Caenorhabditis elegans: one gene and its partner. The protein of the gene in region 1 purifies or fractionates together with the protein of each later gene. This does not show direct contact. Each region holds a gene or a part of one and is shown in the gene's direction. Other genes may lie near its edges. The genes, in order: mig-1 and vang-1.

Region 1 (4,934 bases):
ATGCTGAATTCAGAAAATCTAGATTTAACCTATCAAAAACTATTGAAAAGTGGCAAAAATGGGTAACTTTTGAAAAAAATCACAATTTTGCGGAACTAAGCAGGGACTTTTTTGTTTTTGTGTAGAAGAAAAAACATTACCAGTTCAAAAAGTATTTGAGCACCAGTCTCGCCTATTTAGCTTATTTGACCTATTTGGCCTGTTTACCTATTCAACCTATACTGCCTATTTGGCATATTTAATCTACTTGGCCTATTTGCCTATTAGGCCTATTTGGGCCTATTGTAGAACAGTTTTAAAAATTGACTAAAAAGCTTAAAAAACACCAATCATTTCCCTCCAGTGTTCCAAAATTTGTTCATCGCAAGAAAGTTCCATCTTGTTTCTTCTGGTTATCTACACTCCCCAACAAAGTTACACAATGTGCACTTTTGGCTCGTTTGGTTCAATTGTTTCTGCCGGAAACGGGCGGAGGAAGAGATTCATACTTTTTTCCCAAGAAAAATTGAATTTCATTTTTCAAATTGTGAAATCATGTTAGGCCCTTTTCTCGGTCCTAATCAGGGGTGTGCGACAAATCTCAAAATTAGCCGTGCTCGGCTAATTCGGCAAATTTGGCAAATTTGCCGTGCTTAACAAATTCGGAAAAATTTGATATTTTTTGATGTTGTTTGGAGCACCGAAACTAATGAATTCTTAAAACAAATTTGTGTCGTTTTACTGAATTTTTGGAAAAAAATCAACAGGAGCTCGGCATCGGCACATTCGGCAAATTCGGCAAATTCGGCAAATCTCCTTTTTTGAAATATGCCGTGCTCGGCAAACTCGGCAAATTCGGCAAACGGCAAAATTGGCAAATTCGGCAAATCTACTTTTTTTGAAATATTCCGAGCTCGGCAAATTCAGCAAATCTACTTTTTTGAAAAATGCCGAGCTCGGCAAGTTCAGCAAATCTACTTTTTTGAAATATTCCGAGCTCGGCAAATTCAGCAAATCTACTTTTTTGAAAAATGCCGAGCTCGGCAAGTTCAGCAAATCTACTTTTTTGAAATATGCCAAGCTCGGGAAATTCGGCAAATCTACTTTTGTGAACTATGCCGTGCTCGGCTAAATAGGCAAATTTGCCGAGCTCGGCAAGTTCAGCAAATCTACTTTTTTGAAATATGCCAAGCTCGGGAAATTCGGCAAATTCGGCAAATCTACTGTTTTGAAATATGCCGTGCTCGGCTAAATAGGCAAATTTGCCGAACTCGGCAAACTCGGCAAATTCGGCAAATTCAGCAAATCTACTTTTTTGAAATATGCCGAGCTCGGCAAATTCGGCAAATCTACTTTTTTGAAATATGCCAAGTTCGGCAAATTTGGCAAATCTACTTTTTTGAAATATGCCGAGCTTGGCAAATTCGGTAAATTGCCGAGCTCGGCAAACAGCAAATTCGGCAAAAATTCGCCGCACACCCCTGGTCCTAATAATGATGATGATTGCCGTCTCCGTCCCCGCGCTCCTCCGTTATCATCAAATGATTTGCTGCTTCGATATATTTATTACAGGGCTCGTAAAAACTTCCACCCCCCCCCCTCTCTTCCTCTTTCGCCTCTCCATCTTTCAGCTCTCTTGGTCTCTGTTTCTCTATACCATTCATACAAATATCTGATAACCGCCAGCCATCTCCCAACACACACAACAGACACTCTTCCCGCCCCCCGTCCGTTTGGGTCATTTGTCAACGGACAGGCCGTGGTGGTGCTGCCACTGGTGTGCCCCCCCCCCCCCCCCCGCCTATCCTCCGTCTTTCTTCTCATTGTTTCTTTTACTCTCAATATTTTCCCCCACCCAGGCTGTGAGCCCCCAATTCCATTATCATTAATGGGACCATTTCGTGGTTACCTCGGAGTAACCTGGCTCCTGTTGCTCTTTGTGATTGGTGTGGACGGGCAGAGGTGTCAAAAGGTGGATCATGAGATGTGCAACGATTTGCCGTATAACTTAACGAGGTGAGTGAATTTTTTTTTGTTGGATGACGGGGTTTTTTCAAAATTTACTTCAAGATGGTTTTTTATAGAAACGCTAGGTTTTTTCTCGATTTTTAAGCAAAGTAGCAAATTTTCCAAATTATAGTTTTATATAGTTAAACTTAAAAAAGTCGTTTTTTTTTAAAATTTTTATTGATATTAATAAGCATGTGTACAAAATTAAGGGTCTAACTAGTTAGGTCCCAACTTCCAACTAGTCCTAACTAGTCCTACCTAAGTCCTAGTAAGTCCTAAATAGGTCCTAAGTTACAGGCCATACCAAGGTTCTAATTAGGTCTTAACTTGTCCTAACTAGTCCTACCAAAGTCCTAGTAAGTCCTTATTAGGTCTTCCCTAACAGGCCGTGCCCAGGTTCTAATTAGGTTCTAATTAGGTCATGACTAGTCCTACCTAAGGCCTGGTAAGTAGGTATTCCCTAACAGACCGTACCTAGGTGCTAATTAAGTTTTAACTAGTCCTAACTAGTCCTAACTATTCGTAACAAGAAATTTAGTCCTATTCAGTCCTAATTAGGCCCTAACTTACAGGCCGTACCTAAGATCTAATTAGGTCTTAACTAGTCAACTAGTCCAAACAATATCTTAACTAGTCCTGTCTAAATCCTAGCAAATCAAGTCTTAATTAGGTCCTAACTTACAGGATATATCTAGGTTCTAATTAGATTTTAACTAGTCCTAAATATTACTAACAAGATTATAACTAGTCCTCCTAAGTCCTAGTGAGTCCAAATTAGGTACATAACTAGTCCTAACTAGTCCTAACAATAACTAAACTAGCCCTGCCTAAGTCCTAGTGAGTCCTAATTAGGCCTTAACTAACAGACCGTGCCTATGTTCTAATTAGTTCTTAACTAGTATTAACTAGTCCTACTTAAGCCCTAGTATGTCTTAATTAGGTCCTAACTTACAGGCTATACCTAGATTCTAATTAAATTTTAACTAGTCCTAACTAGTCCTAACTATATCTTAACTAGTCCTACCTAAATCCTAGTAAGTCCTAATCAGATCTTCCCTAACAGGCCGTACCTAGGTTCTAATTAGGTCTTAGCTAGTCCTAACTAGTCCTAACAAGACATTAACTAGTCTTACCTAAGTCCTAGTAAGTCCTATTTAGGTCCTGACTTACAGGCCTTACCTAGGTTCTAATTAGGTCTTAACTAGTCCTAACTAGTACTTACTTCACCTATTTAGTTCCTAACTTTCTAAACATTTTTACCTGTACCCAAGCAGGCCTTAAGACTTAACTGTTCCTAAATAGTTACGTCCGAACTTTCTAGATAGTCTTACCTAGGTCCCAACTAGATTTTAACTAGTACTAAATCCTTAAAATATCAGCTTTACAGATTTGAAAGCGTTTTTGATAATTTTAAAGTTCTTTAATTATTTATTATCACACCTCTTAGTTATAATAATATAAGCTTTGAAAAAACTCAATTAGGTTAGGTAGTTTAATGCCTATTTCCCCCAAATTTTTCCCAACAAATACCAGGTGTAACACTTTGGAGGCCCATCGTCTCCTTCTCCTCCAGCATCAATTATAACGATTTACGAGCCTATGCTCTTCGAGCACACACACACACACACACACACATACACATTCCGTTATTATTGCCACCTGTTTTTTGCCAGCCAGCCACGTTTTCTTAAGGTCTTGTAGGGAATTTTATTACGCATCTCATATGGGGTCACACTTTTTTTTCACTTTTTCAAAATTTCTCCTCCAATAAATCAAAAACGTTGCTTGAAATTGCAACATACGGTCGCGAGGCCATGTGGCGCGCTTTTTCACTTTTTCCCTCTCAACTTCGCCATCTGGGGGACACAGTTTACATACCCTTGGTGTAGGACACCCCTCTGACCGTAAGGGGTTACCCGCCCGGGTTCTTGTTTACATATATATATATATATATATATATATATATAGTCCTAGTGAGTTCTAATTAGGTCCTAACTTACAGGCCATACCTATGTTCTAATTAGGTCTTAGCTAGTCCTAACTAGTACTTATATATATATATATATATAAACTTGTGAAGTGGTAGGTTACGATGACGTCACTTCTCTTCCACAATTTATTTTTCTCAAGTGTAAGTCGGTTCGAGAGGGAGAGCAACTGTTCTTCTGATATATACTACCGGAGATCTAGTGATTTAGTATTATTGTTTTATGAGGGGGATGAGATTGGAGGATCTTAAGTTTGAGGCTTATTGGATTTTGTGGGAGTAATTTATTAATTTATCAGTAGAGCAAGTTTGAAAAAAAATCCCCACATTTTTTGTAGATCAAACCACCCTTGCTCTACTTTGACAGCTTATATCTCGGCTCTCTTTTGTTTTATCAAAAAATACTAACTGACAAAAAACTTGAAAAATCTTTTTCTATATTTTTATAGTTGATCATTTTTTGATATAAGCCGGGAAAATACGGACAAATTTCCATTCTCTGGCGCAAAGCAAGGCCCAAAGCCTAAAGCCTAAAGCCCAAATCCCAAATCTCAGACCTCTTGCAAAAAGCAAAATTCACAAAAAAGTCTCTCCGAACAATTGATAGGAGCAGATAGGGGATGCTCTGCGGCAGTTGGACGGGAACCTGCGTCTCCACCTCCCGCCGTGCACTCTGCCTAGGCGCGTGAAATATGGACGAGCAGATAGTATAAGCCCGTCTATATATCACTTGTCACGTCCTCAGGCTCTCCGAGCACCACAAAACGCCCCTTTCTCCAAAACAAAGAAATGAGGGGGGTATGCAACTTTGTTCTCTATTTCGAAGGAGAGGGTTTGGTGGTGTGGTGGTGGCTGGTATTAATCGGTTGGAAGGACCGGAAACCGTTTTGGAAGGAAGGAATGATGAATTTGGGAAGGTCGGCTAAGGATTGTGTTGACTGATGATTCCCATCCTTGA
Region 2 (7,518 bases), on another chromosome or scaffold:
TGTAAACGGAAAACTTATTTAAAGGTGGCGGAGCGCCAGTGGGGAGATTGATTGGACATTTTATAAAACGGAAGCACTTAAAACTGTGTTTTTTTGAATTTTTTCCTTTTTTAAAAGATATTTTTAAAAAGAATTAGCTTACTTTTCAAAATTGATGTAGGAACATTTATAGGATCCATACAATTTTGCCGGCTGAAATTGAAATGCTGAAATTAAAAAAAAAATGTGCAAAACCACAATTTGCCAAAAACTTACGGCAAGTGCCGAGGTTGCGCGCAAATTTGGCAAATTGGCAGTTTTTTGGTATGCCCATTTGCCGGTAATTTCAATTCCGCCATTTTAGAGTTTTTCACTATGATATTTGCCTTCCCTGAGGGGCTTTTTTTACTCTTGAATACAAACTTCTGACAAATGTATACCTATTTATGCTATATTTCATATTAGAGACATAACAAAATTTTTGAAAAAAAAGTGTTTCTTTGTGATTTAACAAAGTTATACATTAGAAATGAGTTGTTGAATTTTTTCAATTTATTCCATACCAAAACTACTGCGTTCAGAAAAAACATCTGGTTTCTGCATAAGTTCCGTGAGTTTGTGTGTCATTTTTTTGAAATTTTTGAGGTCAAAATCAGTAGTTTTAGTCAAAATTGTTTTTCAAACTTTTGATGTGTGCGGAAAATTTCGAAATTTGCCGAGCTCGGCAAATTCCCCAAACATACTGTTTTGAAATTTGCCGAGCTTGGCAAATGGTGAACTTGACAAATTCGGCAAATTTGTCGCTTGCTCCTGCTACACAAGTACCAAAAAATAAATATTAGAACAACAAAACGTTGACAAAATTACGGTTGAAGCATTCTAGCACCTTTCGATTGTCACACTAAACAATCGATGCATAGATCCCAATTTTCACTTACACTTGCAAATGTGCTCCAATGAAATTACCATTTGCACTACTGTTGTGTTATCTACGTAACCGTTGTGGTTCTTTGGAGTGGTGTGTCTGCGCGCGCACACCTTCGCCTCTCACACCATTTTCACCCCACTCATCTTTGTTACTGCACACCCCTGATTTGTCGTCTTTCCATTTTTCGTTCACCTCTTGACGGATTGATGCTAATTTTATTGTACCGAGCTGTTTAGAATTCAACTTTTTCAATAGTCCTAAAGCTTTATATCTTGCCAGGTTGCCATATTTTCTTATTTTATGATTTTCTCAGCTATCTAAAATGCGGTACTTGTGAAAGTATACCTGGATTTAAAATATTAATCATTTTGAAAATTTTACGTAATTATGTTCTATACTATGTCCATAAGGATTAATGTTTTTCTAAACCTAAGAATACAAATCAATTTCACGTTTTGTTTAAATTGTAATTTTTAAAAGAAATGAATGGAAAACGTATTGAAACATATTTTTGAGCTAGGTATATTACACAAGTACCTAAAATAGATACATGTTTCGTCACAAAATAAGGAGCCCGTCAGCTAAATCTTACTTTTCGGTTTTCTTCTACCCAAATCCGCTCTTTGAAATCACCAATGAGTGTCGCATGTAATTGACGACCATTGGGAGATGAAAACCGGCTCCAAGGGGTGACAAGAAAGATGCTCCGGTCCGGGGGTCCGTTTTTCGAAAAGCCCCGCATCTGGTGCGGCCTAGCGGATAGTAGTAGACACACACACACACACACACGCACGCTCACTCACCATTCCTCTTCCCATTCCCCGCTCGCCTCTGACCACACCACACATACGCACACACTGGCCGAATGGGTTGCGCTGGGGCAAGCAGTGGAAGGAGAAAGAGGAGGACGCTGCATAATGTGTTAGAGGTTATTTTCTTTTCGGGGTCCCCTCTTTTCCGTCCACTCGTTTGTCATTGATCGTGGATGGATCGTTTACTTGCGGTTGTGTGTGTGTGTGTGGAACGAAAATGTTATGACGGCGTGTGCGCAACCCGAAGGGCTCGTTTTATCTCTTTTCACAAATTGTCTTTGCCAATCTATCGTTCCGTTCGGATTTTTTTTGTTACATGAAATATAATATGTTATAAATCTCATTCTTTTCAATGGATCAAAATTTTTGGAGAGATTTTTTTTTTCAGGTGGAACATGTCGTATCAAGATAACAGGAAACTTCCGAAAGACACGAGGAGTTGCGTTGGAGGTTTTCGGTATGAAGGACACAAGAAGCAACTACGACCAAGATATGCACAATCTGAAATTGGCGAGCCATTTATACCGAGGTTTTCTGCAATTGCTAGTGAGGTAAGCCTTTTTTTTGAAGATACATTTTAAAATGAAACTCAATTAAATGAGGAGTAACGGCTCTGGGTACCAATATGTGCTCAAAATGAACACATTTTTTTTGTAATGAAACTTCTCAACAGTGTTCAAAATGTTTTTAGTCGGTTTAAAATTTAAAGAAAGGGTTAATTTTTTCACATTTTGAGCAGGCAATTTTTATGCCAGTAGGTAACCAATTCAGGTAATTTTTGATTATCTATTCGCTTAAAAAGTTCCTTAAAAAGTAGGCCTGAAATTAGTTAAAATTTGAAATTTGTCCTACTCGTCAATGTCGTTGCGGCTGGAATCTTTTTTTTTGAAATTTCCGTAAAATTTTGAGTATACAATGTAATTATCCTGCGTTTTCAACTTTATTTAATTATTTTAAAGGCGATGAACGAAGAGATTTGGTAAAGTTTTTAAAAAACATAAATAAATGAAATACCGTGAGATAAACAACCAAAATATTCAATAAAAAAAAACAAAAAAACTGCTGTGTCACGGAAACGTGGCCAAAATTTGAGAATTTTTTAAAAAAATTCGTCTTTTTTTTCGAAATATTGAACCTCCCATAAATATTTTTTAGAAGTTTTATTACGAAATTCGTTTTTAATTCAGTTTCTGAAACTCCTTAAATTCTTTGTTCAGATGTGTCAAAATAAGATATAAGCCGACCAAATATCTTATCTAAAATTTAAAATGTCATAAACGCCGAGTCGATATACATATCTTATCGCTTTGCGTTTTCACTTTTGGAAAATCTATTTTTGAGTACATCTATAATTCATTTGCAGGGCCAGAAGATTGCACCACCTAACGAAGACTGGGCAGACAACACCACCGTGCTCACTGGAATGACGACGGATTCTTTCACAATGGAAGAAAAAGTGATTTATACCCCACCAATTGGACGTGTCATAGGAAGACGGTAAATGTTCTTTTTTTCTAATTTCACTTTTTATAACTATTGAAATTCAGGTGCTCTAGGTTTGTCTGGCTGTTGGCCTCGTCGTTACTTTGCATTATATCGGTGGTCAGTGCGCCGATAATGTGTTCATTGCCTATAATCGCACCACGTTTCGGCTTCAGCATGCCGGCAATTCAATGTGACGTGAGTATTTCGAAAACCAATTATATCGCATTAAAAATATAATGTATTGCAGGTCGATTGTGAAGGACTCCTGTTTTTAATGGCAATCAAAACAATCTTTTTGGTAATTGCAATTGGAGTTCTTTATTGGAGGAAAGCCATGGCAGACATGCCCAGGTTGTACTTTGTACGAGCTGCGCTTACATTTTTAGTCATGTTTATCCTGTTCGCGTTTTGGCTCTTTTACATTGTCAGGATAATGTTTGAAAGATACGACAACTACAAGTACATCGTAGGTTTTTTTTTTCAAACACAGTGGTGGCCAAAAGTATATGCGTTTTTGGGATTTTTTTGCTGGCTTTTTTTATAGTTTCAAATTAGTATAGCGCACAAGCTAGGTACCCTAAAAATTAAAATTCAACTACATAACTGTTACCTAGAATGTTGTCTACTTGATAACTCAGGTTTCAATAAATTAAGTCATTGAAATCAAAAGATATAGCATCGGGCACCTCGTAAGTCCTTTTTTTGCCACGTCCCTTTAAAGGTGTAGCAATGCCGGCACTCATCGTGAACAATTTCTGAAAATGGAGGTTAAATTGTTCTAAAACTTTCAGTTCAAATGTGAATAAAAGTGTAAACATTAGTTATTTAAAATAAATGCCTAAAAATATTTTTGAAAAAAATGACCAGATTTTCAACCGAAATTTTCAATTCTACCGATTGCGTAAGAAAAAACGATTGATAACATGCAATATAAAATTATTTGCGGATTATTTGTTACTAAAACTTTGCTCATGAAAACTGTTCATTCTTGAGTTACAGTCATGAGATGTGGCAAAAAAATTGGCTCGCGAGGTGTCGGCCGCTGTAACTTAGTCTTTTAAAATGTTGAAACTTGTGTTATCATGTGGACAAAATTTTAGGCAACAGTTTATTTGTTGAACCATTTTTTTTAAGTTCATAATTTGTAGCGAAAATTCAGAAGCGGGTATACTGTTCGACTTCACTATGAATCATTTCGAAAAAAAATTGTGAAATCATAATTCATAATTTCAGGTTTCCTATTCCACATCACTGCTCGACGCTCTTCTATGGACACATTATCTCTCTGTTGTGCTCCTCGAGCTTCGTCGTCTACGTGCCCAATTCATTGTAACTATTGTTCGCGATCCAGACGGTGAAATGCATACATTGAACATTGGCGCTGGCTCAATTCAAGAAGCTGCCACCGAGATTCTTCGTTTCTACACAACTCGATTCTCCTCGTTCAACATTCACCTTGACAACGCCAGACAGACGGCGGTTGCAAAGCAGTCTGGAATGCAAGGAGGCACCGCAGGCTTCAAGATGTACAATATCGAGCAATTTGGAGGGCAGGAAACTGTTAGTGAAGTCAACACGCGGGCTTTGATGGAAGCCGCGGCGAGAAGAAGGATTGGTGGATATGCTGAAGTGATGCAGGAAGAACTTGATTTTGAAAAACGGTTAAAGAAGAGAAAGTAAGTGTTTTCAAATTCAGAACTAACGATTTGGATACTTTGAACAAATTTTGTAATGAAACTTCTCAAAAAAGTTTAAAACTTTTTTTAAACGGCTGTTTCAACTTCCTAAATATTATATTACTTTTTTCAAAGCTATAATTTCAAATTTTGTCCACTTTTCCCTGTCACAACTGTTGGAATTATATTTTAGAGTTGAGGTAGCGAAATGATTTTTTGGACACAAAATGGCCTAAAATTAAGGAAATTTTTATTGAGAAGTTCTGAAAATTGTTCAAAAAAAATTATGGCGGTTCAAAGCTTTTAAAAATGGCCTCTTTTCGAAACTCATAAAATCTTTACAGGTATCGCCTAATTGCCGCCGCCGAAGACGCATTCTCCCATGTTCAGAACACTGCCGAGTCCGGAACGAACCAAAAGCCTGGAATTAACAACCAGATGGACTCACTGACCGCTGCTCAAAACGTATTCACATGGATTGTCCGGCCGCTCACCAAATATTTAAAAACTACTCGTCTTCAGTCAAGACATCCTTCAGGAGAAGTTACGAGGCACATTGAAAGGTACGTTTTTTTTAATAAACAGAATTCAAAGATTAAGCTTTCAAATTTCAGATGCCTAACACTCAAGTTGTCTCATCGAACATTTCTCCAACGCTTCTTCAGTGACCGTATTCCCCAACGGGAAATTGTCGGGGAATCGAAATGGTCGGTAATTTGCGACGAGGCGGTGAGCTCTGGAGTTCAACACGGAACGTATCTAGTGCTCAAATCGCACAACCCAGTAAGATTTTGAAAAGTTAATGTTGAAGCTAAATACACATTTAAAACGACCGAATATCATAATTAAACACTCCAAAATTTTTTAAAGATTTTTTGAATTTTACAACGTATTGGCAAAGTGCCAAATTTTTGAAAAGTCTAAGCATTAAAAAAATGTAGAGCAATTTCGCATGTTCGGACACTTACAAAGTTCGAACACAAATGTTTAAAACAAAATTGAAGTAAACAAAATAGTAGAAACAACTTTTTAAATCTACTTCCAACATTATGAGTGGCAAAACTGAGTAATTGTCACTTTTTGAAAAAATAATTCAATTTTGTTCGAAACGTTTTTCTGTTATATTTGGCATTTTTGGCACCATAGCAGTAGTATGTCCCATATTTCCTCCAGTAGTTTTGCATTCAAAAAAAAATGCTTGATCGGTCGGTAGGGTTGCAAGAGCATTACAAAAACACTTTAACAAAAAATATTACGAATAAAATCCGAAAATTGGTATTTCTGCATTATTTAAAGCCGATTGGCAACAAATTTTTATCATTTTATTCTGCTAAACCCATGTACCTTTGAATGATTTTATATTGCAAATTTCGGTAAGTTATCTTACGCTATTTTGTTGACTTAGGTACATCTCAAGCAAAATTTGAAACCGCCATCAAAATTTTTAAAATTTTTGAAAAGATTCACTCAAACTTCGCTCGAAAAAAAAACAGTTACTTCTCAGACTTGCTAAACCGTTTAATATTACCTTTTTTCAGGATATCGACTGCGGAGTTCAACTTGTTTGCACCATCTCGAGTATTCCGTTCTTCAATTTGACCGAGCAAGCCAAACCTGGAAATGAAAAGTTTTCCTTAAAAATTAGCAATGAGTCGGCAGTTTGATTTGTGGGCTAGTCATCATGCCATCAAGTAAACTTCCAAAAAAATGCCCATTTGATTTGATCAGTTTTTTAAAAAATTTTTTTTACCTGTTAGCTTCTTTTCTTCAACTTTTATTCTACATCATGCTGTTTCTATGTACGGGTTCCTCATCTGACCGAGATGATAATGACTGACATTTGACATCTCTATCGCGCTGCGTCACTTACTTCTTCGAGTATTTATTTTTCTTTAAGTTTCTTCACATTGACTTATGGTCTGGTACCTTTTCAATATGATATGAATAATTTATTCAAGTTTAAGTTTTTCTTAATAAAAAAGTGATTATTTATTATGTATATTTGATTTTAAAAAAAGAAAAAAAATACATCATGGAAAGAAAAATCATTTTTATGAGATCAGAGGTGGTATATTTGTTTGAGTGTGACTGACTTAGCATGTTGATTAGATGTACATCAGGAAATACCCGTAACACATCACTAGAGAGAACATGTCAAATCGAGAGTACGCTATGAAAAATGAAGGAAACGGATATATGAAAAAAAATGCGAACAAGATAGTTTTAAGTTGGATTACACAAAAAGTCTCGGGAACATCAAGCTTCTCTTCTTCCTTCCAAATCTACTGCTGGTGATTCTCTGACTATTGAAAAACGTGGAAATTCTGTCGTTGATCGTGGGATCCATATCATATACAATACCGTTCTCATCCATGAACTGGTTGGGCGAGAAGTTGTCATTGATTTGTTTTTGCTGAAAACAGTATTGGTGAAAACCGATTCAAATCTAAAAAATTGAAAAGTATTGACTTACCCAATCATCTTCTCCGCGCAAATGAAGAATCGGACGGAAATCAGTGTTTTGCATTCCTATCCGACGTCGCGTCAATTTCTCAGATCTGTAGGCATCGAGAAGACTCATTGACGAGACGATTGTGACAATTAGATTGAAGAAAATAATCTGACGGAGTATCTGCGC

What was found.
Region 2: the proteins of mig-1 (region 1) and vang-1 purify together in Caenorhabditis elegans (affinity purification with western blotting; 2 studies listed by BioGRID). This does not show direct contact.

What each region holds. Positions count from the first base shown.
Region 1 is NC_003279.8:954,253-959,186, reverse strand, and holds the start of mig-1 (Frizzled-4), read left to right. Parts: upstream 1-1,680; 5' UTR 1,681-1,867; coding exon 1,868-1,995; intron 1,996-4,934.
Region 2 is NC_003284.9:2,883,758-2,891,275, forward strand, and holds vang-1 (Vang-like protein), read left to right. Parts: upstream 1-2,100; 5' UTR 2,101-2,114; coding exon 2,115-2,270; intron 2,271-3,082; coding exon 3,083-3,216; intron 3,217-3,266; coding exon 3,267-3,399; intron 3,400-3,451; coding exon 3,452-3,670; intron 3,671-4,437; coding exon 4,438-4,880; intron 4,881-5,224; coding exon 5,225-5,443; intron 5,444-5,494; coding exon 5,495-5,663; intron 5,664-6,418; coding exon 6,419-6,544; 3' UTR 6,545-6,924; downstream 6,925-7,518. Other genes in the region: B0410.3 (Neuropeptide-Like Protein), read right to left, coding at 7,114-7,293, 7,354-7,518.